Linked DNA regions of Lonchura striata. The protein of the gene in region 3 purifies or fractionates together with the protein of the main gene of each other region. This does not show direct contact. Links are inferred from orthologs where the notes say so. Each region holds a gene or a part of one and is shown on either strand. Other genes may lie near its edges.

Region 1 (10,441 bases), on a different chromosome or scaffold from region 3:
TTCTGTGATGACATAAATAGGAAGTAAGAACATGTTAAACAAAAGGCAGAGCTAGGATTTTACAGGTCTTTATTTTGGCAGGCTGCATGACAAACACCTCTTCCGGGACTGTGACGCCTTTTGGGGAATGGCAGAGAACGGAGGCAAAAGGTGCCGGGAGCCCTTTTACGTTCCCTTCAGCCTCTGCAGCTGCTCCGCTGGTTTCAGGGCACTTGCTTGGTTCGTTCCTAGAGAAAAAGGCTAGGGCATGATTTTCAGAACTACTGCCCGTCCCCAGTCAGAGTTTCCTACATTCCTGGGTACAAATGAGTGGATGGAGTGGATGGATGCTGTCCAGCAGTGTCCCCAGGGGCATCTAGAGTGTTCACACTGCTGAGCTGAGAAAAACTCACCAAACCCAGCTGAGGGGCCTGTGATCCTCCACCCACCCGGGGGAACTCCAGGCGCTGTAAACAGAGGCCACAGCACACACCAGGCTCTGCTGTGCCCGGTGAGGAGTCTCTGTATGAGCCCTGAGCCCTGGCATCGCCTCCCAAACACCACAGAGACCTCTTGTGTCATCAGAGAAAAGCCCTGGAGCAAACGTGTGTCCCCAGCACGATCAACAAGGGATGCAGAATTACCTCCTCAATAAAAACGCTGTTTCTGATGGAAATGTTACCTCTGTCGACTGCGAGGATTTTATAGGAATACTGGCTCAAGAATTCAGTGACTTCAGGGATTCCATACCACAGGTTCCTGGGACTGCTTGGGCATCCAGAGCCTATAGTATTGGTTAAACTGGTAGAGCTGAGGATACTTAGCAGCTTTGTCACAGAGCTGGAACGTCAAGCAGGGAGCAAGGGGTTCTCTCAGAGAGTGCAGGAGGCCAGTGAAAACAGCACCAAGGTCCTCCACGACGTCTGCTCCTAGAAAAGCCAAATAAATTAAACTATTGACATGAGCACGGACACTGGGGCAACCCTCCTTACTTTGGGCCTTGCCAGCAGCCCACGGAGCCTCACGCAGAAAAGAACTGATCGAGATCAAAAAGTGTTCCTAGTGACTTAGACAGGTGCTCCTGGCTGCTGAGGTACCTGAAAAACCCTCCAGACATCATCAGCTCTTGCTGAAGCAAATAATCCACATTCACCGTGTTGTGCCAAAAACACGCCCGGCCCTTAACAGGGAGAGACCCTGCCTCAGAGAAGAACCGAGCTGTACTGGGGAGACACACCCAGCCAACGTGTATGAGTTAAACAGAATTTTCTCTCAGAACTGGGACTTTCAGCACCCCCCAGGTGCAACTCGACTGCCACATACACACAGAAGGCTTCGTGAGGTGCTCTGGGGTTGGCCAGTCCTGCTCCAAGCCCTGCTGATGCCCCTGTGGTTTTAAGGATGTCCTCAAGGAGGTGGTAGAACCTCACAGTGTTTGCCCCTGGAGCTCAATTTCTGAAGTTTTCCTTGGGAAACGCACCCACTTCCTACTTAACAAGGCAGTCCCCTCTCCCTGCTCTCGGGAAGAGCTGCCCACGGGAACCACCTTCCTCTCCTGATTGCCACGCTCTGCCCTTAAAACGCTGTGTTACTGAGGCCAGCTATTTCCAGGCCAAGACTGTCCATGCAGGGACAGTGTCCCTTCTCTTCAGGGTCAGGGGAAAAGGGCAGAAGCACCTACAGAGCTTCAATGCCCCTCTTGAGCACAAAGCACCGTGAATCTGCACCTCCTGCTGCTTGCAGGGAAGATAATAAAATGCCTCAAGGTAAAAAATGATAAATGGTAAAAAATTATTACAAGAGGGTAGAAATGATGCCGCTTTCACTCCACTGCTAGAAATGACACATAAAACATAAAAAAAACCCTGTACCTGTTCCATTTTCAGACTGAAACAACAGCATATTCCTGGCTGCTCATGCAGCAGGGACAACAGCACTGAAGGGAAATGTTTGGATAATCACGTCTTCATTTAAAGAGAACCCAATTCCTTCATCTAAGCCATCACTGCCCTCCATCAGAACAGCCAGCACATCCACGACATCTAATAAGTGAAGGAAAAAATGTAAGCAGAGGATCCAGACTGACTGGGAAAACAACAGAGGTAGAATGCAACATTCCAGGAACACAAGGTAGCTTTTTAGTCACAAAAATTTAAAAAAAAAAAAAAAAAAAAAAAAAACTAAAGAAAAAAAAAACAAAAAAACCCAAAAAACCCCAAAGGCACATTTGCCAGTCAATACAATGTTAGGGGCAGCACAAAAATCACAGCTGTTCTTCACTCTGCCTTTCAAAGCTGCTGTCCAGCACAGGTTGCCCAGAGAAGCTGTGGCTGCCCCCGGATCCCTGGAAGTGTCCAAGGCCAGGCTGGACAGGGCTTGGAGCACCCTGGCATGGTGGAAGGTGTCCCTGCCCATGGCAGGGGTGGAACGGGACGAGCTTTAAAAAAAGGTGCCTTCCCATCCAAACCCTTCTGGGATTCCACGATTCTGTGAGCAGCCCCAGGCAGAAGGGCTCAATTTCCATTGTGGTCCGGAAATGCTGCTGCAAGAGCACAAACAGATTTCAAATACTGTTCAAGTGGCACAACCACATCAAAAATTACGTCTGGGGGTAAAGCGGCAACTCTGCAATTCCAGCCTCTGATACCGAGGACACATGGAGGGCTGAATCCGGGGGGAGTTCGGGGTCCGAGTCAGGGTCGTCCTCATGAGCCACCAGCCTGGGGACCCAAAAATCGGGGGGAACCCCAAATTGGGGGGTGACACAAAATTGGGGGGGTCCTGGGGGGCTCTGGAAGGTCTTTGCAGCATCCCAGGAGGAATTTTGGGGTGTCAGGGGGTTTTTGGGGAGTCGTGAAGGGAATTTAGGGGGTCTCAGGGAATTTTTGGGGGGTCCCAGGAGGAATTTTGGGGACCCTGATGGGAATTTTGGGGGTCCCAGGGGGGGGTTGAGGTCCTGGAGGGAATTTTGGGGGGGTCTCAGGCAGTTTTTGGGGTCCCAGGAGGAATTTCAGGGGTCCTAAAGGGAAATTTGGCGGTCCCAGGAGGTGTTTTGGGGTCCTGAAGGGAATTTTGGGCCTCCTGGGAGGGTTTTGGAGTCCTGGGGAGAATTTTGGGGGTCTCAGGGGGTTTTTGGGAGAAATTTTGGGGGTCCCGAGTAGAATTTAGGGGGTCCTGGGGGAGGTTTTGGGGTTCTGAAGGGAATTTTGGGGTCTCAAGGAGTTTTGGGAGGTCCCAGAAGGAATTTTGGGGACCCTGATGGGAATTTTGGGGCTCCCAGGGGGGGTTTTGGGGTCCTGAAGGGAATTTTGGGAGTCCTGGGGGGGTTGGAGTCCTGGGGAGAATTTTGGGGGTCTCAGGGGGTTTTTGGGAGGAATTTCGGGGGTCCTGAGTAGAATTTTGGGGGTCCTGGGGGGGGTTTGGTGTCCCTCCCCTACACAGCCCTTTGTCTAACCCTTAAACAATGGGGTGCCAGATTTTCATTTCCAAGATAATTAACAGTCTTTCCCCTGGCAAACAGGAATTGTGCTTCCAAAATTGCAAACAGTGAATGATTTCTCGCAGACCACAGCTGCCAACACCAGGAACTCTCACTGCCTTTGGAGAGCAGCACGCCTCCAGTGAACACACATCAACACACAGGGAGGGTGAGGTTGGTTTTACACGGAAAAAGGGCAGAGGTCGGGTCACAAGGCCGGTGGCCCCAAGTGACTTTCTACATCTTTTTGTTCTGAATGGCACAGGATTTATCCAGGAGCAAAACTGCTGCCAGCAAGAATTCTGCCTGTCCTGGAAGAGACAAGCACCTCCTCGACATGGACATCAGGAAGTGAAGAGGGTGAGCCATGTTTCACACAGAATAGGGCCAGCGACAGAGTCCAAGAGCCAGGGGCCATGAAAGAAGGGCCGCCCCCTGAAAATCTGAATGCAGAAGGATGTCTTGTGGACCCAAGCTGCCCTCATGTCGATGAGGGGTTGCCTTGAAGATCCCAAGCACAACTCGCAAACTGACTTCAGGAACCTGGACTGGTGAGTTTTCTTTCCCAGGGAAAATGGCCAAAGGATGTGCCCAGGGGCCCCTGGCCCCGACTGCAAAGAATCCTTATATCGAAGGATGGACCCCACACCGAAGTTGTCCCCACCTCAAACTTGTGCTGCCCTGATAGACCCAAGGGAGCCCTACAAACTGACATCAGGAACCTGGACTGGTGAGTTTTCTTTCCCACGGAAAAGGGCCAAAGGATGTGCCCAGGCTCCGGGAGGGTTTGGGAGGATTTGGGAGGCTTCGGGAGCGTTTGGGAGGATTTGGGATGCTCCAGGTGGCTCCGGGCGGCTCCAGAAGGGTTTGGGATGGTCTGGGAGGGTTTGGGAGGCTCCGGGAGGGTTTGGGAGGTTCCTCCATCTTGTTCCCTTTGGACCCCTAATCTAGAACCCTAAAATTTTACTTTTGCACACTTAATTATTACTTATATCAAGCCTTCAGAGTTTGTAACTACAGTGAAACATGGAGGGCATGAAGAAGAAAAAGGACAAAACACATCCAATTTCCTCAATCTTGTCCCCTTTGAACCCCTTATCTAGAATACTAAAATTTTACTTTTGCACCTGTGCCATGCTTAATTATCACTTCTATCAAACCCTCAGAGCTGGTAATTCATGCTGTGAGATTGAAAACTCTTTTCCATGGACAGAGATCACAGCCAGTGTCTCTGGGGGCTCTGTCCAAGGGGGTTCCTGAGCCCTGCCAGGGTGCCAGGGCAGCCAGGGACTTTCTGTGCCCTCCCAGGTGAGCAGGGCACAGGAAAAGGTTTCCAAAATTCATTGCTAGCACCGAGCTTGCGGAACATCACTTTTCTGCCCAAACCCGGCCGGCAGAAAGGCAGGGATGGGTTTTGGGATGGCGCGGGGGGAGAATCGGGGGGGGGCTGAGATTGGGGGGGCTGAAAGAACAACCCTGAAAGTGGCAGAACGGGAAGCGGCGCTTCCGCCGCCCAGGGCCCCGCGGGCTCCGCGGGAGGGAAGTGCCCGGCCCCAGCCGTGGGAACGGCGCCGCCAGCGAGGTCCCAGTGCCGGGCACGGGGCAGCGGGGACAGCGGGGACGTGCCAGTGCAGGGCTCCCGTGGGCACCGTGCCCTGCTCTGTGCCCTGCTCCATGCCCTGCTCCATGCCCACCGTGCCCTGCTCCGTGTCCTGCTCCGTGCCCTGCTCTGTGGCCACTGTGCCCTGCTCCATGCCCTGCTCCATGCCCACCGTGCCCTGCTCTGTGCCTTTCTCCGTGCCCACTGTGCCCTGCTCCATTCCCTGTTCCATGCCCTGCTCCGAGTCCACTGTGCCCTGCTCTGTGCCCACCATTCCCTGCTCCGTTCCCTGCTCCGTGCCCTGCTCCATGCCCTGCTCCATGCCCAGCGTGCCCTGCTCCGTGCCTTCCTCTGTGCCCACTGTGCCCTGCCCCGTGCGCTGCTCCATGCCCACCGTGCCCTGCTCCATGCCCTGCTCCGTGCCCACCGCACCCTGCTCTGTGCCCTGTTCCATTCCCTGTTCTGTGCCCACCGTGTCCTGCTCCATGCCCTGCTCTGAGCCAAACGTGCCCTGATCCAAGCCCACTGTGCCCTGCTCCGGGCCCACCATGCCCACCATGCCCTGCTCCGTGCCCTGTTCCATGCCCACCGTGCCTTTCTCCGTGCCCTGTTCCATGCCCACCGTGCCTCCAGGTGCTGACCATCAGGACTCCAGGTGTTCACCATCAGGACTCCAGGTGTTGATCGTTGGGACTCCAGGTGCTGACCATCAGGTGCTGATCATCTTGGGTAAACGACCCAAGATGGATCTCATGGAAATGCTCAGACAGATCCATGTGAATGCAGCATTCCCGTAAATCTCACCAGGGATTCACCTACTCCGGACACTGAATTATTCCTCCTCATCACCAAAAAAAAAGAAAATCTTATTAATAAGCTATGGACTCTGAATCGAAGAAAAGACTGCTTGCTGAAATCTTGGCCTCAGGCGGAATTTTCCCTATAAAAACCGAATTTTCCCTATAAAAACCACTTGTGCCAGGATGGAGGTGTGTGGGCATGGGGGAAAACCTCTGCTGAGGCTGACTCCGTGTTGCACACCCAGGGTCAATCCCCGGGCTTGGCTCTGTCTTTTTCCATGGCTGGCTAGATAGAATTTGACCACTAATAAAATAATTTTTTATTTTTAATCTGTCTGAATCAAATCTCATTCATAACACCACGAAAGCCGGGAAATCGGGTGGGAAAGCGCTGGGGGGGAAGGACGGGGAGGGAGCAACAGTCCAGGGAGGGCGAGCAGGATGGAGCTGGGGCCCGGTGAGCGGGAGGAAGGGAGGCCGGTGGTGGCTGTGTGCTCAGCAATAGGAAATGCTTTATTAGCTGGGAGTGGTGGAGACAAGCCAGGCAGGAAGAGGCAGTAATAAGAAACATTTTTTTTTTTGGACTTCTCCCACATCCAGAGAGTAGAGCAGCTGCCGAGCGGCCGTGTTGGAGCCCCTCAGCAGGGGAAGGGTGACAATCCCTCCCCCAGCGGGACAGGCGCGGCCGTGGGAGCCCCAGGGTGGCAGGATGGGTGCTGGGAGTGGAGCAGATCCATGAAAATCCTCCAAGTTGGGGCTGAGGAGCAAAACTTCCCCGGCTGAGGTGGATCCAGGAGCGGGAGAGCCCCGCCAGGGCCGGGAGGTGCCGTGGGATCCTGCAGGACCTGGATGCTGGAGGTGAGCGGGGAAGAGCTTCGTGCTCCTGGGGTCTGGGGGTGCACCCAGCTCAGGGCTTCCTTCCCTCCTAATTTGTTAGAAATGAAAATTTATTCAGCCAAATTAAAAAAAATAAGAGTAGTTTTATTTGTGGTCAAATTTTATTTAGCCAGCTATGAATAAAACCACGGTGCCGAGCTCGGGGATCGACCCTGGGTGTGCGACAAGGAGTCAGCCTCAGGAGAAGTTTTCCCCTGATTCTCACACACCTCCATCCTGGCACAAGTGGTTTTTATGGGGAAAATTCGGTTTTTATAGGGAAAATTCCGTCTGAGGCCAAGATTTCGGCAATCAGTCTTTTCTTTTATTTAGAGTCATGTTAATAAGATTTTCTCATTTGGAGATGAGGGAGAATAATTCAGTGTCCAGGAGTTGTCGAATCCCGTGATGAAATTTATGGGAAGGCTGCATTCACATGGATCTGTCTGAGGATTTCCATGAGATCCATCCTGGGTCCATGAGATCCATCCCAAGTCCATGAGATCCATCTCAGGTCTGTGATATCCATCCCAGGTCCATGAGATCCATCCCAGGTCCATGAGATCCATCCCAGGTCCATGATATCCATCCCAGGTCCATGAGATCCATCTCAGGTCCATGAGATCCATCCCGGGTCCATGGGGAATTTGGGTGTATTTTGAAAAGGACTGGGGAAAAAACAGGGAAGGTTGACAGCTCTGAGGGCTGCACTGGGCACCAGGGGCACAGAAAGTGGCACCTCCTGCTAATAAAAGGGTTTTTAAATCGTGGGGATTTAGGGTTAAAAGGAAAAATCATCTTAGCAGGTCCTGGAAAAATCAATTCCTTAAGCACATGGAGAACTCAGACTCGCTAGACCTGCACTGTGTAGCTAGGACATGATAATTGATATAATTGTTAGATGTGATGATTGTCTAGTAATTAAATATAATTATTGTTTAATCATGAGAAACTGTGGTCAGTGAGCTAAGAAAGATGACGAGAAACTCGTGTCAGTGTATACAATAGAACAATATAAGTTTAATAATTAATATGTGAGTTACGTAAGGATAGAATATAAAATATCAGCTCGAAATGGGTGTCGGAGTCAGATTTGGGTCTGTACCCCTGATTCCCAGACCTCTCAATATAAGCACTGCAAATAAGGATATCCTGTGATTATTTGTGTTCCTAAACAATGTAAATTTACTAATTAATATGCAAATGAATATCTAAGTTATATAAGGATAAAATATAAAATATGTTTAGCTTGAAAGCCGTGTCGGAGGCAGATAATGATATTCTGTGATTCTGTGTGCTCCTGAACGCTGACATGTCGAGCAGGGGTTGCCACTTTCCTGAGTGGGTTTGCCACTCTCCTGAGTGGGTTTGCTGCTCTCCTGAGCAGGTTTTGCCACTCTAATGAGTGGATTTGCCACTTTCCTCAGTGGGTTTTGCCACTTTCCTGAGTGGGTTTGCTGCTCTCCTGAGTGGATTTGCCACTCTAATGAGTGGATTTGCCACTCTCTTGAGTGGGTTTGCCACTCTCCTGAGTGGGTTTGCCACTCTCCTCAGTGGGTTTTGCTGCTCTCCTGAGTGGGTTTTGCTGCTCTCTTTATGTGCTGCACCTCCGTGGAGTGGAAATGCCTCTCAGTGAGAGGCTGGTGGGGTGGGCTGGAGGGCGAGCACAGCCTTTGCTGCCTCTGTGACCCCCCTGCAGCCGCAGAGAGGGCAAGGAAACCTCCAGCTGTGCCCAAAACCAGGCTCGGGGACCTGGCCAAGCTCCGGGCAGCTCTGCCCTGGCATCCCTGCCTGGCACCGGCGGTGGCACGAGGGGCTGGGCTGCTGTGAGAACCTTGGGTTTGGTTTGGGGTCTGGTGTGGTGGAAAAGTCTCTCCTCTAATCCGTGCATCCAAAGAAAAATTCTGCAGCCTTTTGTTGTTGGGTCTCAAGACAGTTTATTGCGAGTTCTCTAAAAGATTTTCATCTCTGGCTGCTGTGGTTTGCTCAGCAGCTCAGGCAGAGGCACACACAAACTCCTGTCACCCTCTCTGTCTGCTGTCTTCTTCTTCTCTCCCCCCACCCAGGGCTGCTGCTAGCTTTTATATGATATATTACGTATTACATGTTTATAGTTTTCCCCCAATACCTACTACCTGTGTTACAAAGTGCTTTTCTACTCTAATCTGTGAGTGCCAACATCACCAAGAACATGGAGGCAAGGAAGAAGAAGGAGGAAGAACAGGATCAGCCCACTTTCTTTCATCTTAGAACTTCTGACCCCCATGTATAAAATAACAAGCCCCCTGTACAGGTACTAAAACCCTCTTGTACAATACTAAAACAATTTTTCCCTCTGTTTTGTAACTACTTTTACTATGCTATCTAACCTTTTATGACTGCTTGTTCCACCTTCAAAGTTGGTAACTCATTCCATGGCTCAAACTCAAAATCTCAGCTGTTTCCAGCTGCCTGCCAGGGTCTAAAATGCTTCTGAGCAAGGCCTGGAACTTCTGAAAATGTCTGAGGGACATTCGGAGTTCCCACAGGCTGCCCTGAAAAGGCAGCACAGGGAACTGAGCCCTGAGCCACATCCCGTGGCTGAAGCCCCTGTCAGCAGCAGAACCTGCAGGGGAGGAGGAAGAGCTGGGGTTGAGGAGCCCGGCCAGGCTGCCCTGGTCAGAGCAGGGACCCCTGAGCCTCCCTGCACACCCCAGAGCTGTGCCCAGCCACCCTTCCCTGGGCTCCCTTGGTTTTCTGCTCTATTTTCCCTTTGCTTTTCCCTCCAGGGGTTTGATGGGGAAATTCCCCTTCCCTGGGGTTTGCTCCAGAGCCTTCCCTGCACTCCTTTTCTGCTCTATTTTCCTTTTGCTTTTCCCTGCAGGGGTTTGATGAGGAAATTCCCCTTCCCCGGGTTTGCTCCAGACCCTTCCCTGCACTCCTTTGGTTTTCTGCTCTATTTTCCCTCCAGGGGTTTGATGAGGAAATTCTCCTTCCCTGGGGTTTGCTCCAGACTCTTCCCTGCACTCCTTTTCTGCTCTATTTTCCCTTTGCTTTTCCCTCCAGAGTTTTGATGAGGAAATTCCCCTTCCCCAGGGTTTGCTCCAGACCCTTCCCTGCTCTCATAACAACCACAACCCACGGGATATTTCGGATATTTCGTTACACAGCAGAGTTTTGGGTGAGGCCCTGCTTGCTTTGTGTTTCATGGCAAATATCCTGCAGCTGTCTAACGGTTCAGGATTTTGGGGAAGTGGCTCCAGGGAAGGAATTCACCACCTGGGAGCCTCAGCTTCCCTTTCCAATCATCCTGCAGCTCTCAGGACTGCAAGAAGCGTGGTGCTGGTGCTCAGCAATCAGCAGCCCAGCTCGGAGAGGGTTGAGTTTTAAGATAAAGAGAAATTTTTAAGATCAAGCAGATCCTAGGGGAGTTGGGATTTTAAAACAAAGCTGATCCTGCCCCAGCCAGGGTCAGATGGATCAGCCTGGCATCACTCCTCCACCGGGCACCAAGGTCCTGCCCTCCATCCCCAGTGACCCCAGGATCTGATCACTGCTTCCTCCCCTCCAGCCACAACCCAGTGAGTTATTTTGGGGAGGAAAAACCCGATTTGCAGCGCGGCTGGAGCCTGCCGGGGTCAGCCACGTCCCCGGGCTTGCGTGACTACGCTTCCCCATCAAGGCCAGAATCTAAACAATCTTGATTCCTGTCCCAGCAGCGCTGGGCTG
Region 2 (10,501 bases), on a different chromosome or scaffold from region 3:
TGCCTTCCAACTCGAGCAAGTAACAATAGAATTTCCATGTTTTAGTAAAAGGTAGACTAATTCAGCATTTTCAGCAACAATCCATACCAAGAGGTAAAAATATGGAATCAGAATATCCTTGCCCATATCTCATTCGCCAGTTATCTGTGTGTAAAGAACATAAACTACAACTACACGAACACATCATAGATGAGATTTAACATCAGCATGAGGTGTCAATGACCAACTAGAGTTAAATTACTTAATTCCTATAAGGAAGCATTTTCACTTATAACTGATATAAAAGAAAATCCCATACTGTTGTCCTCTTGGAGATCGAATTTTTTGCTTTTCATCCAAGTAGTTTCTGTTATTATCAAAGAAATGTTACAGTAATTTAAAAAACTCGGACAGAAATCAGTCATATCTCCAAGTTCACTTTAATAAATACACACATTTCTATTATGGAATGATAGCAGAAAGGGATGAGAAACTGACAACTCTGATGTAAGCTGACCTTCTAGAGCCAGTAATCTCTCAGGGAAAATGCATTTCAATGCATTTGGTAAACACAGTTTAAATCTACTACCACGAAAAGCACTTTAAAAACTACTGAAGAAGAGTAAAAAAGTACTCAATCCAATCTGTCCTTGGCAGAGAACTATTTTTTAAAAAAAATTATTATAACAGTTTTTGGATTGAACCATTAGCATGAAGGTCCACTACCGACTAGTTAAAGTTCATGTCTGTTTAAATGATACAAGGTTGGGGAAATGACAATACAAACAGATAAACAAATGCCCTGGAAATCATACAATCAGGGATGTAGCCAAGAGCAGAAATTGGGTCAACACAGCAATGTAGTTCCTTGTGCATTACATTTTGTCACTGCCATTCTACATAGTAATTTCTGCTTTTTGAGACTGACTACCCTAAAAGAATCAGTGAGACAATGCTGTTGTGAAAGTGAGGGTGTGTGCATTATGACATTATCACATCGTACAAGTTATCAACAGCATATTTCTCATATCACAAGATTAACATCTTGTGTTGAATACCATTACTTGTGTAGTTGCTCAAACTCCGAGTTTGACAGTTTTGCCTTTCCTTTACCAAGTCTCTCTTGCATGAATGTTGCAGTCTGGAAGCCCCCAGTGAGAGTAAAGCAAGCTGGCTGCATGAATGAAACCCTGAAATTATGCAGCTTGACAAGACTTAAAATTAGCTGGCCGAGATATTAACACTACATACAAAATGTGAACAGAGAATTAAGTACACTCTAACCACTTAACTTTTACAAATCTGAATCAAAACCAGACTGTTACCTACTGAAACAGGTTTTTTTGTATATGCTGTCTATCTGAAGAAAGAAAATTACTGAAAAACTTTTTTAGTTACATAAAACCCTATGAATCACTATGTAACATTTGTTTACATCCTGCATCACTTCTTCAACCAGACAGTTTAGCACAGAACACCACCTTCAGCCAAAGAATTTATAGATGGAAATTTTAAGCTGAGACATTGTCTTCCAAAGGATGCTAACAAGGAGCAGTACAGAAGTTAAAACTTGTGAAGTGCTCTAAAAAAACCTCAAACTCACATCTTACTGCAAACAATTAACAATTTCACATTGTTAATACTTTATTTAATACTATATTTTTGCTTTACAAATTTAAAAAAGACAAATAGTCACAGCACCCAAAAGCAACATTTTGCTAAAAAAGACACTTCTCTTGAAGACATTACCACTGTTCCTACATGAATATTACAAATTTTGAAGCCAAAACGTCACCAGAAAGCAGAACTTCATCAGAAGAGCAATCACAATTCTTGGTTCCATAAGATGCAGAGTTTCGAGGGAATAAAGGAGCAAGGCTATTATGTGCAAGAGACAAAACCACATTTTTAGGGATATGAGCAAAAGGGTTTCATGCTCACTGGTAGCTCTTTCCCTGTCCAATAACACTTGCCAAAGGAAAAAAAGAATAATACATAACAGTGCAAATGTCAGCTTCTGAGTCTAATTCAGACAATCGCCTCAAACAATACACCTGACTCATCTCTGAACTCTTTTAGCTCAAGATACAAAAAGGTTTCAATCTTAAAATATCTGGGACATAGGTACAGTTTTTAAAATCACAATACTTTATGGCCTCCACTAACACATTCTTCTCACAAAGGCAATAATTAAAAGTTTCACTGTTGTAACAGCACCGGGTATCAAGTTTTCAGGAAAACTTTCACATAGATTTCATCCATCTTCCTTCTTGCAAACAGCAGGTCTTGTCAAACAAAGTGATGCACTCAAGAAAACAGATAAATTACTATTAAGTACCCACAACTTGTAAATAGCGATAAAATCTTGTGTAAAATCCCAACTTCACAAAAGTGATATTATATTCTGTGCAATGTAGGAGCCAAATGGCACTTTTAGTTTTCTTGACATCTATCAAAAACACTACCCAGAGATATATGTTCATGCCTCTTAGAGCATAATACAGTAACAATTTGTTTCTTCTCTGGTAGAAGAATAAGCTTTAAAAAAACCCAAACTAACAGAAGAAAGCTAAATTTAAAAGCCCAGATCATAATTTTACAAGCATTATGACAACAGAAGGATCTTTATTTGTACTTTTAAATTTATTCCACCATATTAATCAGATTGTTATCTTTATTTGCAGTTAGAAGCAATTGTCTGAATTCAAGAATTTTCAAGTGGTGACTCCCCAGAACTTCAGAAGACTAAAGACTATGGCGTACACAGTGAAAACCAGAAAGCCTATTTTCAGACTCTGTCTTAAAAATTAAGGCTGTTCAACTGTTCAGCTAGCTGCTGGGATTCATTACATACCTGACCTCCATATAAACCGTATCACAAGATGACTCATCCACACAGTAACACCAGCACATTGCAGAACAGCCCCAGCAGAGGCAACCAGAAATTGCCCAACTTCTGTCAACTCACAGTAAGAAGTACCAGTACCCAAATCATACCTTGAACTACTCTATCAACTTAGACCATAATGTTCAGGCAAATTACCTGCCTCACCCATACCAGGGCCTCTGGATGAGCTATGGATCATGAATCCTGGATTTCTTCCAATTCCATTGAACAGAGAGGATTTATCTTTTATTAAACAAAAGGTAGCACACCATCACTTCCACCCATAAGGTTTTGTATGGAAGTCTGTTGCCTTGTTTTCACACAAAGCTTTTAGACCTTAATTTCATGCTTCAGATTAAGGGAAAACTGTTGGATTGATGGGAGGCATTAAAAGGGAAAAAGTTCAAAGCTCAAATTGAACTAAAATTTCCTTCAACTACTAAATTGAATGTGTTACATAAGAAAGCTTTAAATTATTAAAGCCTGCCGCACCTTTTCAAGAACATAAGAACAACCCATGGGTAACTTAAGCTTATTTCAGTGTTTCCACATCAGAGATCTTGCATCGCCTTCAGTAAGAATATGTGTGATTAACACTACATGTTAATACAGCAAGTGATGCTTTAAGTAGCTTTTTTTTCACCATGACTACCATTTTAGATTGAATTATATACAGCATGGTATAGATCCAGACTGAGGGATTTCTTAAAGCTGTAACCGAAAAAGTTGTGGTGCTTCTCCACTTCCTTTTTAAAATCCAAAGCAATATACAATCCATTAGGCCATATGTCCCAAACTGCTAACCGCAGAACAACCTGCACATTCAAAAAAAAAAAAAAAAAAACAAAACGAAAAAAGAAAACCACCCAAATCTTCCATTTATGAATGCTGTCAAGCACTCCCAATGTTTCTTGCACTAGCTCTGCAACAGCATAGTCTGATATCAAATCTCTCGCAAAAAAGCACAGGTACAGGAGACTGGAGAACACAACCGTTTCGCTGTACAACATTCACCCGAAGATTTCATTTCCACACGGCTCGACCCGCACCGAGCACACAGGCGAGGGCGTGCTGGACCAAAAGTTCGCCTGTCCCCCCAGCACCGTGACAGCAGCACACGGTGCTGCAGCGCGCAGCACAGCGGGGGCAGCCCCCTGTCACCTCCGCGACGTGGGACATTCAACACGTCTCTGCCCCGCCGCTCCTCCCGGGCACCACTACGAGCGCCCTGCGGCGGCCCGGGGGCTGCCGCTCCCGCCGCTGCCGGGCACCCCGCCCGGGAGCTCCCAGGAGCTGGCGGACAGATAGACAGGGGAGCTCCGGCAGCTCCAGGAGCCTCAGCTGCCTTCGCGGGCCAAGGCCACACGCACCCCCCCGGGCGGACATCAGGATAGAAAGTTAACGCGGGCAGACATCGCCCGAAGCGCTGCTCAGCCGGGCCGAGGAAGTAGCGGCGGGGCCCGAGGGGACCCTTCCCGCCGCCCCTCCCGCGGAGCCGCCGCCGCTCTCGGCCAACAAAGGGCCGAGCGGTCCCCGCCGGGCTCGGACACCGGGGGTGGGGGGAAGGTGACTCCGCCCCAGCCGGCCCCTCCGCCATGTTGTTGAAAGGAACCGGCGGGGATCCGCCGCCCCCCGCCGATCTCCCCACGCACCCCCACACGCCGCTCCGGACACCACCGCCGCGCCCGCCGCCTCTCTCCGCTCCCGCGCCCCCCTGCGCACTCACCGCCCACCGCGGGGCAGAGCAGCGAGGCCGCAGCCAGGCACAGCAGGGCCCAGGGACGCCGCCGAGTAGCCGCTGCCATGTCCTGGCCGCGACTCCCCGGAGCCGGGATCCGCCTCGCGACGCGCGCCCGCTCCGCCCGCCCAGGGACCGGCGCGGCGCCCGCGCTGCGTGCGCCCTCCCGGCCCGCTCCGGCCGCGAATGCCGCCGACGCGGCGGCGGCGGCGCCGCCTGATTGGTCGCTGCGCCCCGGCCCCGCCCCGCGGCGGCCGCGGGCAGCCCCGACAACAACAGGCGGCGGGAGCGGGGCGCGACCTGCGCGGCGGCGGCGCGGGGCGGGGCGGTGGCACCCCCTCCCGGCGGGTGAGAACGGCAGAGCGGCCGCTCTGTCCCCTCGATGCCGCTCCCGAAGGGGCTCGAGCGGGCTTGGAGTTTCCCTGCGTCCGGGTGCTGCGAGAGCGCTCGGGTTAGCGGCTGAGGCGCTGCCAGCAGCGAGGAGGGAGCGCTGGCAGCGCTGCACTGCGCGGAGTCCCGGGAGCATCGGCTCCGATGGAAGGCAGGTGCGGGGGCCTGTGGGCAGCCCTCGAGTTGCCTCCGGAGAGGAGGAAAGCAGCGGGAGCGGAGGAATTGCTCCTCCTGGGAGGCGCTGCGAGTGGGCAGGCGGAGCGTGCGGAGCCCCGGGCGGTCGCGGCGGGGCCGCAGCGCAGGGGCAGCTCCCGCTCCTTGCCCGCGGCACGGGACCGCCCGGCGCTCCCGCGGCAGCCCCGCGGCCGCTCCGCCGTCCCGCAGCGGAGGGTTTTCCCTCGCCTCAGCGGCAGTCTCAGCGCTCAGCTCACAGGCTTTGTCCCCGTGCGAGGGAAGAGCGGTGCCAGGCGACAGGTGTAGCTGCCAGCTTATTGCACAGCCTGCGCTTAACTTCAGGAGTTAACTGGGAATCGCAGACTCGTGCAGTCCGAATACCCGTCGGAGGTACACCTTGAATCTTAAATCCTGGGGCAACTAGGATGTACCTCGTGAGGAAAATGACCGTGACTGAGGTTGTTACTTCTATCCACCACTTTATTAGCTTTGCATGGGTGGCAGAGTAGGAGGAGAGGCTCTCTTCTTCCCTCTTGGGATCAGGTAACGATTCTCCCAGCAGTTACCTGATTGCTCTGGGAATCCGCCCCCTCCCCCCCCCCTCGCCCCCCCCGCTCAAATATCTGACTGTTGTGTCCAGACCCTGAATCAGTTCAGAATCTCTCAGCATATGCCTTTATACTCCTTTTGTTGCTTATTTTGCATGGAGTGTGACCCTCCCGTCATAGGCAAAGTCACAAAGATCACAGGTGTTCTTCCACATTACTTGCAGTTGCTCTTGCAAGCCCCGTGCCCTGTCTTTGCCAAATGGTGCCTTCCCAGCTTGCAGTGCTCAGGACAGCACCCTTCCCACTCTCCAGGACCACATTCACTGTCACGGCACACTGATCTGCTGCCTCCATTTTACTAGCAGTTGTTCAGCCAATACTGCTTTTATAAAAAAGTCTTGTTTCTCCTACAGTACACTTCACCTGGGTAAGAATTTTGATGTCATAGTTCAAAGTGAGGTAAATATTTATTAATTAATTCTCTTTCTGTTTCTCTTTGAACAATGATCAGTGTCATGCATAAACATATCCTAGTTATATTTTCTCTCACAAAATAACATTTTAATGACATGCACTTAATGTCAGATGTTGAACCAAATGTCTGGATTTCATATAGATTCATGCTGTAATGAACTACTGAAGCTGACAACACCAGGCAAACATGTTCTTAGTTATCCATACATAGAAATATGTAGAGGGCTGATCCTCAACTAAATGTATTAGCGTCAGAAAGAAACACTGAAGCACTCAGTTAAATTTCTCAAATCCTGAGACATCTTTTAAATTCATATTGAGCATTGAAACTATAAATTAAGAAAATTATGCTCAGGGGAAAAAAATCTACTATTCATTTCCCCATTGCAGATCTCCTGGGTTTAGGGATGGGTCACAGACTATATCTCTGAAGGAAGGCAGAGACCAGTAAGCAGAGCATGCTGAAGGATTTCTTTTCAGGGCTCCAAGTTCAGTTCTATGTGGAACATTTTGAATTAACATCCTGAGTGACATTTGGCTGACAGACACAGAAAAATTAAAATAAATCAATAACTTGCTGGTATCAACTCACCAGCTAAGATGGATTCAGGTCCAATAGTGCCAACTACAAAGGAGTTTTTTTTTGCCAGGCTTCACTCTTCTTCCATATCACTCATGAGGTAAAGACCACTACAGAAGAAATACCTAAAATTATGTCATCCCCTGTCCTGAAGCCTGGGTACCTCTCTCTGATCTTATGTATGCTAGATGTAAAAGCCAAAGTAAATGTGGACAGAAGCATAGCTACCAAAATGGGTTCTGCATGTCCAGAATCTCCCCGTTTCTCGCTATTTTTCCACATATCCAGGTTCTTAGGACTGCCTCTTCTGGTCTTGATTAAGGCGGGGTCCAAGAACTTCTGATTATGATACAGACTCTTGATATTCAATGGGCTCTGGTAGACATTTGGGTCTTGTTCTTGTTGGTACCTTCCCCTGTTAGCTCCCCCTTATCACTGTAAGATTCATCCTGGTGTTTTTCCATCATCTTTCTTCTGCTGTTACTCCTGCTGTAAGTTCCCCTTTTCCAATATTTAGGTCTTCCCCTTCCTTCTTATGAGCTTCATAACTGCTTTTGGTGCAGCAGGAGCTTTGCTCATCTGGGCAGTACCTGGCTTCTTTAGGGGGGGCTATAGGAGAGGTACTTGGATTCACTGGTTGAGATGCAAAGTAATTCATGTCACATGCCCTGTTTGGTAACAACAAAATTACCTTTGTTTTTGCTATAAAAATAGAGCAATTAAATAAAAACGACAATATAAAAATGATGACCTGAAAATATTTAATTCATTGGTTCCTCCCTATGTCTGCAAACAAATTGAATGCCAGTCCAAAGGTAGTGAGGACATCTTGATGCTTGCATCTTACGATTTTCATCCTCTAAACATGCTAGTTAGTCAAGTGGGGCTAAGTCAGAAAATGACACAATCAGTGAAACAGTTTCAATATATGCTTTCCTATAAAGTGACATTTTGTTTAAGAAGAAAATAACTGTTCTATGATCACAGATTCTTCAAAATTGCAATAATTGCTTGGCCTTTTCCTGCCAAAGCATGAAAAAACTATTTCACAGTACAAATCTGCCAAGTTCAATAGAAAACAATGCATGACCATTGTATGGTTACGACATTTTAACTGGATGAATTAAATATAATTTTTCAGTATTTCCTGTAAAGGAACGCTTAAAAGAACTTCTTACGAACTGCAATCCTCAGTGCTTACTGAGGATGGAAATAATGTCATCAGTGGACATAAATTTAAAAGAACAGGCAACCCCCCCATTTTTCCTAGCCTCATTTTTCTAATAAATGAATGATTTCATAACATAATTATATTCCAATTATAGAAATATGCAGCAATAATAATAATTTTTTTTAATGCAAGGTAGAACACAAAGCAAGGTGACACAGAAAAACCAAACTATCTGGATTTATGAGATTTGTTTAAATCATCAGATTGGTTTTTAGACTGAGTAAATCAGGTTATTACACAGCGAATATCTGCAATTTAAACACTGATTAATTTCTTTCTTCTGTACTAGAATGTGACAGTCATACACATGCGCAGCACCCACAGGGAGAGAGAATGAAATAATTAATCTTTACCTAGGGCTGCTTTTATTTTCTGCAAGAATTATTGTCAGTGTACGAACACTTCTTATGGTTTTATTTTCTCTTCTGGAAGATGGAAAACAAAATAATTGCAACTGCATGAATGTTTCAAATGGAACTCTGTACTACTGGAACTCTGTACTCCACAAAGAAAAAAACTATGTAGGGCATTGAAATAAAAGACATTTTGGAAAGGAGCAAGTGGATAGAGAGACAATTATACAAACCAATTTGTTCTATAGGTTAGTCTTTGAGAAAGATTTATAATATGAATATAATGATTTAGTTCCAAAAATGGGAACCAATAAATATTTTTTCCCTTAGGTCTTAAAGTAAAAATATATGGAATTGTGATAGGAAATAATATTAATGGTGATGACTAAAAGTTTTATTTGTCTTTTGGTTTAGAAGGTACTGTATCAGGCTAATAAATAATCTTTCTCTCACAAACAGTGTATGCACAATTAGTCCTAAAGCAATAAAAATGAAGGTGCTGTAAAAACTAAATTTTTACAGCTTTCTATCCCTAATAAGTAGCTAAACGTTACATTTGTTTGTTTGGAAGAACTATTCAGTGCATCATGATAATTACAAATTACTTTGACCAAGGAACTTAGCAAGAGGAAAAGTACTGAATGTGTAACATTTACCAAAATAGAGTAAGTTACTGAAAAAACCCCAACATTGCCCTCCCCACCTAGCCCTTGATTTTTGGAAACAGTTTTACTCAAACTGGGACAGAAAGTATCAAAGTGCTTATTAGTGTGCAGTTTCTGGATGTACACAAACCAGAAGTTTCACAAAGGCCTGTGATCTTTCTAAATCAGAGACAAGCAAAAGAAATCACTTTTTTGAAGTCACTGCTTTATAAAACACTCAGAACTAGTCATTTCATAACCTTTTCAAACATTGCCTGATTTGACTCATCAATGTTTCCAGAACTAAATACTGTGAGATCTTAGTTATTGAGCACCCAGTTAATTATCTCCTTTAACTGAAGGCTAGTTACAGTTTAAGGTGTATGAAGCCCTTTCTGCTTTTAATTCACTGTGGAACACTTTATATCCCAGGCTTACGTGCTGGGCAGCCCAGCAATGCACCACATCGGGATGCAGCTGCTTGATCCCTGCAGCTAACACCCACCTTATCTCCCAGATAATGGATTTGTGGGCATGGCATAGTGTCCTAAGTTCTTTAAGCAGATCTCAGTGACAAGAATGAAACCTCTTAAACTTGGTGTTTCATTCTAGCTTGTAGAGTCCATCAGCTGTCAAGCTTGTTTATTACATGTGTCTTGATGCAGCTTCACTTGAAATCAGGTATGATCTACTCAAAGAGAGCAGTGTTGACTGTAAGTCTCCTTACAGAGAGATCTGTAAGAAGATCTGATTTATGCTGAAAGTAGGGAAGATGCATATAGTCCAAGACATGCTGCTAAACACAGCAGTGACTAGGAAGACTAAATAGCTTAGGGAGTGGCTGCCAGAAGTAAAAAGGCTGACATCAAGCATGTCTGGAAATTACTTGAGACTGTTTGTCATTATCTGTTTGAAGGCCTTAATTGCTGAAGTAACTCTCTAACTCTGCTAACTCTGAAGTGGCAAGGGCATCTCACCTACAACTACAGCAAAGGATACTTGTGTTAAAGTAGCTTGCCTCTAATTAAGAAAGTATATTTCTTTTCTTGGTGTGGTACAGGTTTTGCGGGCTTGGATGCTACTCATTCCAGTTTGATGGTGCAAGTAATAACGCATATCATTCTGCTGCTCAAGGGAAGTAATTTTCCTCCAGAGACTGGACTCAGTTTTGCCTAGAGTGGGGAAAGAGCACCTTTTGTAACCCAGCAAAAGTTAATGTGTTTCTGGCAATGCACAGATCATGAGGTTTTCCTACTGTAATTCTCTGTGTACCCATTAGCAGGCAGGCATCCTGTGGGCTTGACAACCTTGATTTCTTCTTCCATGGAATAAAGGCTCATAGCAGACAAGAACCTTCCTAGAGTAGGAAGTGGGAACGGTGATGACAAGCTGCTAAGACCTAAGACCTAAAAATTAGTTTTGGGGATCTAGATCACAACTTGGATTAAATATCAGTTATCCTGGAAAAAAAAAAAAAAAAATCAAGTTTTTTAATAAAACTTC
Region 3 (10,530 bases):
ATGGACAATGACCACCTCTGGGACACCACGTGGCACGGGAATTCCAGCCCCAGGCCAAGGTGCCATGGGGTCTTTGTGCTCAGACGTGGCCAGACATCCCAACCTGCCCAGGTGACCAGGACACACGTCTGCTTCCCTCTCCATCTTCCCCCCAGGACTCTCCTGGATCGGTCCCCTCTATCCCCAGGGATGCCTGCCCTGGATTTGGCACCCCCTGGGGACACCTCACTCCCTGATGGACCTTTTGGCTTTGGATAATTTTTTTTCCTTTCTTTTTTCCAGAAAAGCTCAAGCAGCACAAAATCATCTTTGTGGTGGGTAAGTCTGTGTCTGGGTCCTGTCACTGGTGGGGTCAGCCCAGGCCTTTTCCCTGTACCTCTAGGCTGGGGAAACAGGGCTGGAGGCTGAGACTGGGCTATTCCCAGGCACTGTGGGATGGCCGTGGCTCCAGCTTGGCTGCTCGAGTCCACGTGGGGTATGCTGGGACCAGGAGGGCACCTCTGGCCAGGCATGGGGTGGCAGCATTTGGGGTGATGTGACAGTAAACCCCTGGGAGGAAATGTGACAAAACCCTGGGTGGTGATGCCCTGGGTGCCATCAGGGTGTGGTGCCCATATGCCAATTCCCAGCAGCCCATGCCACTCCCAAGCATTTGGGAAACCTCAAGAGGAGCTCTGTCCATCCACTTGGTGCTGGGCTTGGGGACACCAAGTGACGTGTCACCGAGCTCTGGGGACTTGTGTGTGTCTGCGCTGCTGCTCCGTGTACCCCTCCCTCTCCTTACCCGTGGCTCGGTGTCAGAATCTGAGGTATTGATGATTCTGAAATTGTAGAAAGTCTCTGTCTTTCTGCCCCATTGCCAAAGAAGAAGCCATAATTGGTCTGTGCTGGTTCCCAGGTTTTTTATTCTGTTTATCTCTCACATATTCTGCTGCCCTGCCCAGCTCTGTCCTGCAGGGCAGCGTGTGGGGCTCTGCCCTCAGTGGGATGTGACAAACATTAAATACCAGAAACTCCCTGGGCTGGGTTTACAATAACGTGCCAATATCTGTCACCTACGTTGGACAGTGTGTCCCCAGCCTGAACCAACAGAAAAATGCCAACACCACAGTGAGATATGGAGGGCATGAAGAAGGAGAAAAAGGACAAGACACACCCAATTTCCTCCATCTTGTGCCCTTTGGACCCCTTATCTAGAATCCTAAAATTTTACTTTTGTACCCGTGCCACACTTAATTATTACTTATATCAAACACTCAGAGCTTGTAATTCATCCTGTAAGATTGAAAACTCTTTTCCATGGCCAGAGATCACAGGCAGTGTCTCTGGGGGCTCTGTCCAGGGGGGTTCCTGACCCCTGCCAGGGTCCCAGGGCAGCCAGAGGGAAGCCCTGGATTCCCACAGCTCAGGGCACACTCGTGCCTTGCAGGTGGCCCTGGCTCAGGGAAGGGGACACAGTGTGAGAAGATCGTGCAGAAGTATGGCTACACCCACCTCTCCACGGGGGACCTGCTGCGGGCAGAGGTCAGCTCGGGCTCGGAGCGGGGCAAGAAGCTGCAGGCCATCATGGAGAAGGGAGAGCTGGTGCCCCTGGTAAGTCCCTACCAGCACCAGCTGCCACATGGTGGGGTGTGGGGGTATCAGTGGGGCCACCACACTAATGGCTGGCACGTGGCTCAGGCATCTCTGGCCCTGCCGTCCCAGGGTGGGGTTTGCAGCGGGGACTGGGGATGCTGCCTGGGAGTCCTGTTGTCCCATACCAGCCGTGGCAGCTCTGTGCTCCCCGCTGCAGGACACGGTGCTGGACATGCTGCGGGATGCCATGGTGGCCAAAGCAGATGTGTCCAAGGGCTTCCTGATCGACGGATACCCCCGCGAGGTGAAACAGGGAGAGGAGTTTGAAAAGAAGGTGAGGAATGGTGCAGTGCTGTGCTATGCTGGGCCATGCCACACACCAGCTTAGCACAGGCACTCAATCCAGCAGCAGCCTGGGCTCCCCATCCCAGCAGAGATCACATCCCAGAAGGGTCCAAACTGGGCAGCAGGACCCCCTGCCTCGGGGACAGCCTGTGCCCAGAGCACAGTGGGAGGGACCAGGGTGTCCTCAGGCTGACAGAGCGTGTGACAACAGTGCTGACATGATGGTGATGGCAGAGAGCCAGGGTTTGGCTGCAGTGTCCCTTTGCCTTCCTCTGTGTGGCCCTGGAGGCCACTGGAACAGTGTCCTGGTGGCTCCCAGACCAAAGTGGTGGGAGGCAGGAGATGGTGTGGGAACATCCCTGTGTCCTGCTCACCCCCAGACCCCTGTGGAGGGAGGCAGAGGGTGGTGTGGGGACATCTGTGACTGACCCTCATGCTGACCACCACAATCCTGCCAAAGCAAACCAGAGCCACGCCAACTCAGTGTGCTGACAGCCACGTCCCCTCTGTCCACAGATCGCGCCCCCCACGCTGCTGCTCTACGTGGATGCGGGGAAGGACACAATGGTGAAACGCCTGCTGAAGCGAGGAGAGACCAGCGGGAGGGTGGATGACAACGAGGAGACCATCAAGAAGCGTTTGGAGACCTACTATAAGGCCACTGAGCCTGTCATTGCCTTCTACCAGAGCAGAGGCATCGTCCGCCAGGTAAGCGGGAATGCGGCTGAGGCCAGCCCCACAGCTTGGGGCTTGTGTCCCAGGGGAGGGGAAGTGATGGATGGGGATGATGAGGGAAGCAGGAAAACTCAATCCTGCCTAGTTTGGGGTGGGCCTGACCCCTCTCATTCCCGACACAACCCCCTCCAAGGATGGCTCACTTCTTTGTGGTCTCTTCACCCATGGCCAAAATGCATCCTTGGGAGAGTTCCAGTTGCTCTCGAGGGAGAGCCCTTGGGCAAGTCCCCCAGCTAACCCCTCTGTACCCAGCTCAACGCCGAGGGCTCTGTGGAGGAGGTTTTCCAGCAGGTCTGCACCCACCTCGACTGCCTGTAACCGAACCCCCAGCCCCAAATCCCCCCGGTGCACTCCAGCAGAGACAGCGGAAGCGGCTTTATCCTGTTTTCGTGGACGGAGCCGTGCGGAGGAAATTTCAAGGACATTGTGTTTGGCTCTTTCCCGTCTCTCCCCAGTAAAGTTCACTTTAATGAATCCAGACTTTATCTTTTTCTTCTGTCGCAGGAAATGAGTTTTTCTTTCCAGCGTTTTGGTTTTTTTTTTTTTTCTCTCCCTCTCTGTCCTCCCCCCAGCCCCTCTGGAGCTGATTAAGGGCAGGAAGTGGGTGTTTATCCCGCCGGGGCAGCGGGATGCTGCGCTCAGAGGAAGGGAGGGAGCATCCCAGCCACTCGCCCCGGCTTCCCAATCCGTGGCCTGGAGGGAGCCTGCGCCTGCATCCTCCAGCCAGTCCTGGCTGCCCTCGTTCTGTCCCTATTTCTGAACCCCCTTGTGCTCTGGGTGTGTCTCCGGACACACAGGCAGCTTCTGAGTCGTGTCCTGCACATGCGTCTCAGCACTCCCACTGCCTGCCAGCGGCTGGAGGCGACCGGATTCGGGATGGGGATTTCCACCACTTTCATGCCTTGGCATTTCCTTGTTTCTGTTGGCTGTCAGGGTTTTTTGGGGTACGCAGTGGCTGCACGGTGATGGTTTGTGGTGGCACAATGCCCTGGAGTGGGGTGTTCCCTGTCCTGCTGTGCCCGGACTCTCACAGCCTGGACACTCACTGCTCAGCCCCAACCCCAGGGGATAAGGAATATGCTGGGGACATACAGACGAGCCCAGCCACCAGGCTGGGTGTCCTCCTGGCTGGGTGCCCTCATGGTGGTGAGTCACAGGACCCCAACAGACATTTGGGTGGGGGTGCTGGTGTGGGGGATGTGGGGGCTCCCCAGCACCCACAGAACCACACAGGCACAGCACCATAGCAGAGGGGCTGCAGTGGAGCTTGGGGGTGGTTTCTACCCAGCCACAGTGAGGGCAGGAGGTAGCACAGCTCCAACCCCAACAGGGCCCCCCACCACTTACTTTTGGGCTGCCGGGAGCTGGGCACAGAGCCAGGGCGCTGGGAGGGCAGGAGGGGCGGCAGCGTTGGGGTCAGCCAAGGCCACGAGGCCAAGGAGTCAGAGTGGAGAAAGGAAGCCAGCAGGGAAAAAACAAAACTCTCCGAGACGAAAACCCAAACTCACCAGTCAGCCCGACGTCAGCCCCGTGCTCCGGGGCCACGAGCCGTGGGCAGAGCCTGGGGCACTGAGGGAAGGCAGGCGGGCAGGAAGGATGCAGCCATCCGGCCGGGGCTGGGACACTGCCAGGACAGCGATCCAGGGCTGGGGCCGGCCAGTGCTCGCCTCGTGCTGCTGGAGACGGGGGGCAGAGGGGTCGTGTGGTTTGGGACACCACAGCCTAAAACTGGGGAGTGGGGAGACACATCTCTCTTGTGCCTCCAGCCCTCTGTGGGTGTGCTGTGAGTGTGCCTCAGTTTCTCCAGGGCAGGGAGTGGGACAGGGACCCTGCCCTGCTCCCCAGTACGGCCCTGAGTGCTTGGTGTTGAGGTTTAGATGCTCTTTGGTTTGAAATCTCAAGGCCATCCCATATGCTGTGCAGGGGAAGATGCTGGGCCAAATGGGGTGCAGGGGGCTGTACATGTGGCCACCCCACCGCCACGGCCACCCTCTTGTCACACTGTGGCTGCCACCATCTCACTGTCCATCACTTGGTTGTTGTCCTGTGGCATCACCGCGGGGAGAAGGGTGCGAGGGACTCAGAGGATCCCGTGCTGGGTGCCAGTCCCCATCCCCGGGTGAGCACCCGTCCCCGCGGTCCCCAGGAGATGGCAGTGCTCTGTCATGGGAGATGGTTGCTGCTCACCCCGGCTCACCGACATCTCCGGGGACATCCTGGCTGCTGGGGACAGGCGTCGCTGACTTCCCTGGCTCGTTTCCATTCTGTCCCCATGCCCGTGAACCATGAGTCAAGATGAAAACCAGCCCTGGTGTCAGGGTCTGAGGACCTGCACCCACCCCCGGTGTGAGGGTCCCAGCCCCACTGATAGCTGTGTGAGGGCTCTCATCTCGGCCAGCAGAGGTGTGGGGAGGAACGGAGCAGGAGTGCAGAAGGGGGTCCCTGGTGCCCCTTCGGCAGTGCCCAGCTGTGACACCCTTGCCCTCACCAAGGCCCCCTTGTCGCAAGGGATCTCCTGACCCCAAGCCCACCTGCCAGGTAGGGGTGTCCGGGCAGCCCCATCTGTGGCCTGGCCAAGGGTCAGGCAAGGCAGCAGTAACGCTAAGGGGCATCCGGGGCCATGGGGCGGCCACCAGCCTGACACATGTGACCTTGCATGGGTGCTGGATGGGAGCAGTAGGGGCTGAATGTCGGGGGCAGCCCCTTCCCCATCGGCTGGGCAGCTCCCCATCCCTATCACTGGCAGCACCCCGGGAATATTTGGGTGGATGGACACCACCAGAATCCCTGTGTCCAACCCCTCCACTCACTACTGCCAGCCCTGGGAGGCCCTGGGGGCCCTACCCCGGGTACCAGCGCCCTGCCCAGGGCGCTTCCAGCGCGCCCCTCCGGAGGTGCAGCCCCGCACGGCGCTGTAGGGAAACTGAGGCACGGCGCCTCCGGGGGAGGGGGGGTCCATCCTCTCCGCCCCCCCCCGGCCCCGCCGGCCCGGCCCCAGCGCCGCCAGCGGCATTTCCTCCGCCGCGGACCCTCCTCCGAAGGGAGTCGGTTTCCTGCCGCTGCCGCCGCCCGCACTCGGCGCTGGCTCCCGGGGAGCGGCCGCAGGCGGACATGGGCCCCCGCTCCGTCCCGCTCCTGCCGCTGCTCCTGGCGCTGCTCGGCCGCCCGGGTGAGTGGGGACCGGGGGAACCGGGCACCGGGGATGAGACCCGCGGGATGCGACAGCGGGACGGGACCCCCGGGACGGGACAGGCGCCGCGGCGGGACCCGCCGGTGACTGCGGATCGGTGGCCGAAGGGGTCCCGGCTGTGCCCGCACAGGCAGAGATTGTCACCCCCGGGAACCCTCCGGGAGAGGAGGTTTTGGGGAGCAGCGTCCAGTGGGGAGGGATAAAGCCACCCCGATTCCCGGAACACACACAGCACAGCCCTGCCGCTCCCTGGGACCCCCGAAATCCCGGCTGCGTCACTGGGGCGTGGGAGGTGGTGAAGACGCCGTGACCGAGTCCTGGCCTAAACGGTGGCACACGGCGGGTCTGGGGTGGCTTTGGTCCCTGTCACCTCGGAGTATGGAGGGGTTGACCAGGAGATGGGGATGAGAAATGGGAGCAAACCCTTAAACCTCACATGGAATGTGGGGATGGAGCTGGGGGTGAGAGATGGGAAAAACCCTTTAAACCTCACATGGAATGTGGGGATGGAGCTGGGGGTGAGAGATGGGAAAAACCCTTTAAACCTCACATGGAATGTGGGGATGGAGCTGGGGGTGAGAGATGGGAAAAAACCCTTAAAGCCGCAAATGGGAGTTGGGGGCTTAGACACCTCTGGAGCAGTCAGAGCCACCCTGAGATCCCTACAAAGCCACATAGGGAATTTCAGGGAGGGATGCCAGTGCTGATGGAGCTGGGGGACGGGGAGCTGGGGGACTTGGGGACATAGCCTGCTGGCAGGGGGAAGGGAACAAGGGGACTGGGGAGGCAGCAGCCGCCCGGAGAGGCTGGGGCCAGCAGCACTGAGTGTCCCGGCTGGGTTGGTCCCTCCTGGTCACCTCGGGGGCCAGTGCTCATGGATGGTGCTGGGGTGGCCCCACTGCCAGGCTTGATACCCACTCTTACATCACAACCCTGACTGGTGGCTGTGCTTGTCCGGTGAGGCTGTGCCGTGGGGGCCGTGTCCCCTGTAGTTGTGCCATACAGTCTCCATCCTTGTAGATGCACAGTTAGTCCTGTGTCCTGTGTAACTGTGAGGCTCGGTGCCCATCCCATAGCTGTGCCACAGCCCCTGCCCTAGGGCAGTGCTGTGGTGTCCCTGTCCTATGTAGATGTGCAGTAAGGTCTGTGTCCTCTGTAGCTTTCTTGTACAGTCCCCATCCTATAACCGTGCCATATGCTCCACATCCTGTGCTGCTGTGGCACAGAGGCCTTGTCCTCCCTGTGTATGATGTATAGTCCCTATACCACACAGCTGTGCTGTCTGGTCCTCATCCTACACAGCTGTGCAATGTCACCTGTGTCCTGTGTAGCGGTGCCATGTGTCCATGACCTTTGTATTTGTCCCCTGTATGGCTGTGCCATACATTCCCTAACAGGGCTGTGCTATATGGGCTGAGTCCTACATAGCTGTGCCATATAGTCCCCATCCTGAATGTCTGTTTCTATGGTCCCTGTGCTATTTGACTGTGCTGTATGATCCCCATCCAACGTAGCTGTGGCACACAGTCCCTGTGCTGTGTAACGGAGCTGTACGGTCCCTATTGCATGTGTCTGTATGGTCCCTGTGCTGTGTCACCCTGCCACACAAACAGACCCTCTCTGTGGCCATACCACCCCTAGGGTATGCAGCTGTGCTATATGGACCCCATCCTGTGTGACCGTGCCATATTGTCACTGTCCTATGTAGCTGTGCCATGTGTTCCCATCCTGAGTGTCTGCGCTTTATGGTCCATGCCCTGCGTGGCTGTGACACGTGGTGCCCATCCTCCCTACCTGTGCTACTCACCACATCCTGTTCAGTTGCTGCTTCTTCCTCACAGGAACCTCTGGGGCTGGGAGCCCACAGTGGGTGCAGTGCCATGGAATTGGGATGCCCGCAGTGGGCACAGTGCTCTGGGACTGGGCTGTCCATGGTGGCTGCAGTGGTGTGGGACTGGGGTGCTTTTGGTGGGTGCAGTGTCAGGGTGTCTCACAGACACAGACAGCTTCCAGAGGTGGGGGATTTTGTGCCCCCTTGACAGGGGCCAGCACTGCTCCCCATGGGGTGCTGGGTCTCACCTCCCATCTGTGAGGAGAGGCTTCTTGGCACCTGTCTGACTCAGAGAGTGGCAGGAATGATGTGGCTTATGTCAAGCCTGAAGCCTGGACCCATGCACACCATCATCTGCATCCCAGTGCCACCTCAGCATGGTCCAACAGCCAGCAGGGGCTCAGAGGATGACAGTTCCCTCTCAGTGCAGGACCCATCCCCATTCCTGCCCTGGATCAGCTCATTACACAAGTGCTGAGGCAACACCACCAAATGCAAGGATGCCAAAGCGGTGCTGCCCATCCCATGGGCATCCTGCACTGCCAGAGCCACCCTTGCCCTGCATCCCACACCCCAGCTTTGTTCTCTGCTCCCAAAACCCAGGAATTTCTCCCCCAGCCCCTGACCCACACTGTGGGGAGCCACAGTGGGACCATCCCTGTGCCCTGATCCCAGTGGCACCAAACCAAGGGAGAATGCAGGTTGGAAAAACATCAAGTGGATTTTCTTTCTTTCTTCCTTTTATTTTTTTTTCCCTTTCCTGGAGTACAAAAATAACAGTGCCCTTATCTGATCGCCCCGGCGGCCCAGCTGAGCCCCCTTATCTGATCCTGACATAATGCTGGAGCCCGCTGCCTTCCCCAGGGACAGACAGTGCCCGACTGGCACCACTGCCCCGCATCCCCTCCGCTGGCATCCCTGCCCTGCCAGGGCGAGCCCAGCCGCGGCCCCCAGCCCTGCCTGACCTCGCAGGGCATGCGATGCCCGAGGAGCGAGGAGCTGCCCGGCCCCTGCCCAGCAGCGCCGGGGCCGCGCGGCCGTGCCCGGGGCCGTCGGGGCAGGGGTGGAAGGGAAGAGGGACGCAGCCTGTGGCGCCCAGATAAGCGGCTGTTTATCTTCCTCCCGATGCTGCCGGCCGCGCGGCCGCCGCGCCGGGGGGGAGGAAGCACCGGACAATAAATGGGCCCACGGCAGCGTCTCCGGGGGTCCGTGCCGTGACCCCGCCGCCGCCACAGCCCGGCCACCCCACCGGCGAGGCGCAGGTCAGGGACAACGTGAGAGGCACGACTTGGAAGGAACGGCCCTTTGCCGGGTGCTGTGTCCCAAAAACTCGATGACCTGGAGCATTGCACCCTCTAGCCCCAAGTCCCGGTGGGGCTGGCTGGATGGACCGGGAGTGCGGTCCAGCCACCTCCCGGTGCATTGGCTGGAGCCAGCAGGGATGGGAAAAGTTGGAGTGGGAAGGGATAGAACTCGGTGGCCATCTCCAAAGGAAACACAACATCCCAGGCACTGTCTCCCCAAAGTCCATGGAAACCCAGCTGTGACCAGGGGGGTCTGTCCTTCCCAGCCCCCTGGAATGGAGCACCCATGGATGCAGACGGTTCCTCGGGGCCAAGTTAAGGACAGCCCGGCCACAGCAGGGCTGCCTGAGGCGGAGGAAACTGTCGAGGCACGTGGGGATTGACAGGATCAGGCCTTCAAATGGCTGTTTGCGCTCAGGATTTCCCTTGGCAGCCGCCGGCCAGCCCCGCTCGCCGCACGCCGCCGGGGGCTTTGGGATGGGGCAGAGCTCACGCCCCAGCGCCCGCGGAGGATGAGCCTTACACCATTTCCATACCTGCGCTTCCCACTTTCCTGCGCCCGGGGGATGCGGGGGGGGCTTCCGCCACCGCCCCAGCCTTCGGGGCGGCCGGGTGCGAGTTTTGGCACGCAGCAGTGCCGAGCAGGGACAGCGGATTTTTCCAGCCCGGATCTAAGGGTCATTACCGTGATTGCGGAGCGGCTGGCGGCGGCGGACGGGCCCCGGGCGAACACGTAGCAGATGGTCCCGGGGGTGCCGGCGGGGCCGGGATGGGGGCCGAGGCTGGAGGGCAGTGCCGGCGCTGGCGGAGACATTCAGCCCCCTCCTGCACCGTGCTCCCTCGCCTTGTGTCACAAACATCCCCGCGGCACGGACTGACAGGCTCTTGTTTTCCGCCCAGACCCCGCGAGAGCCGAGGGCTGTGACCTGCAGCCGGTGACATCGGAGCGACCCATCACCCTCTCCTATGCCACCAGCACGGTGCCACGCGGCTGTGTCAGCAACAGCTCCATGGACACTGGCCATGAAGTCCATATCCTCAGCGTCAAGTGGTCCGAGGTGAGCACGAGGGGTCCCAGTGCATTCCTACAGAACTTCTTACACTGTCACTTCACACTGTCACCCTGTCACTGTCACTGTCCCAGCTGTGAAAACCTTCCTTTAATTAAGGAGCAGTGAAAGGACCTGGATTAACCTCCTCCATGGCACCTTGTCCAAGCTTCTCCTCCAAGCACAGACTTGGGCTTCTCTGCGCCTGATGGGAACATAAAGACTTCAGAGGCAAATTCTTTAATAGTCCTTGCTGCCAAGGCAGGTATTCCTGTGCTGGACACCTCAGGACATTCCATTTCCCTGGGAAGGTGGCCTGGTTCTGGTTCTGGCTCAGGAGCTGGGCAGAGCCACAGGTACCCAGTGGTGACCACTCTGAGGATGGAGGGAGAGATGGAAAGTGGAAGGGAAGAAGGGATGGAAGGTAGAACGGAGGAAAGGATGAAGAGATGGAAGGAGAGATGAAGGGAGGGATGGAGAAGAGTGGAGAGATGAAGGAAG

The links.
Region 1: the proteins of ENG (region 3) and ACVRL1 purify together in Homo sapiens (affinity purification with western blotting; 3 studies listed by BioGRID and IntAct, with this or other methods). This does not show direct contact. The link is inferred for Lonchura striata from reciprocal best matches to the Homo sapiens genes ENG and ACVRL1.
Region 2: the proteins of ENG (region 3) and TGFBR1 purify together in Homo sapiens (affinity purification with western blotting; 5 studies listed by BioGRID and IntAct, with this or other methods). This does not show direct contact. The link is inferred for Lonchura striata from reciprocal best matches to the Homo sapiens genes ENG and TGFBR1.

The regions. Positions count from the first base shown.
Region 1 is NC_134629.1:6,228,494-6,238,934, reverse strand, and holds the start of ACVRL1 (activin receptor type-1-like), read left to right. Parts: upstream 1-6,465; 5' UTR 6,466-6,715; intron 6,716-10,441. UniProt on the Homo sapiens protein: Type I receptor for TGF-beta family ligands BMP9/GDF2 and BMP10 and important regulator of normal blood vessel development. On ligand binding, forms a receptor complex consisting of two type II and two type I transmembrane serine/threonine kinases.
Region 2 is NC_134603.1:84,463,955-84,474,455, reverse strand, and holds the start of TGFBR1 (TGF-beta receptor type-1), read right to left. Parts: upstream 4,758-10,501; 5' UTR 4,672-4,757; coding exon 4,593-4,671; intron 1-4,592. UniProt on the Homo sapiens protein: Transmembrane serine/threonine kinase forming with the TGF-beta type II serine/threonine kinase receptor, TGFBR2, the non-promiscuous receptor for the TGF-beta cytokines TGFB1, TGFB2 and TGFB3.
Region 3 is NC_134624.1:716,460-726,989, reverse strand, and holds the start of ENG (endoglin), read left to right. Parts: upstream 1-5,689; 5' UTR 5,690-5,766; coding exon 5,767-5,824; intron 5,825-9,880; coding exon 9,881-10,038; intron 10,039-10,530. Other genes in the region: AK1 (adenylate kinase isoenzyme 1), read left to right, coding at 283-318, 1,430-1,593, 1,793-1,909, 2,437-2,628, 2,908-2,973. UniProt on the Homo sapiens protein: Vascular endothelium glycoprotein that plays an important role in the regulation of angiogenesis. Required for normal structure and integrity of adult vasculature. Regulates the migration of vascular endothelial cells.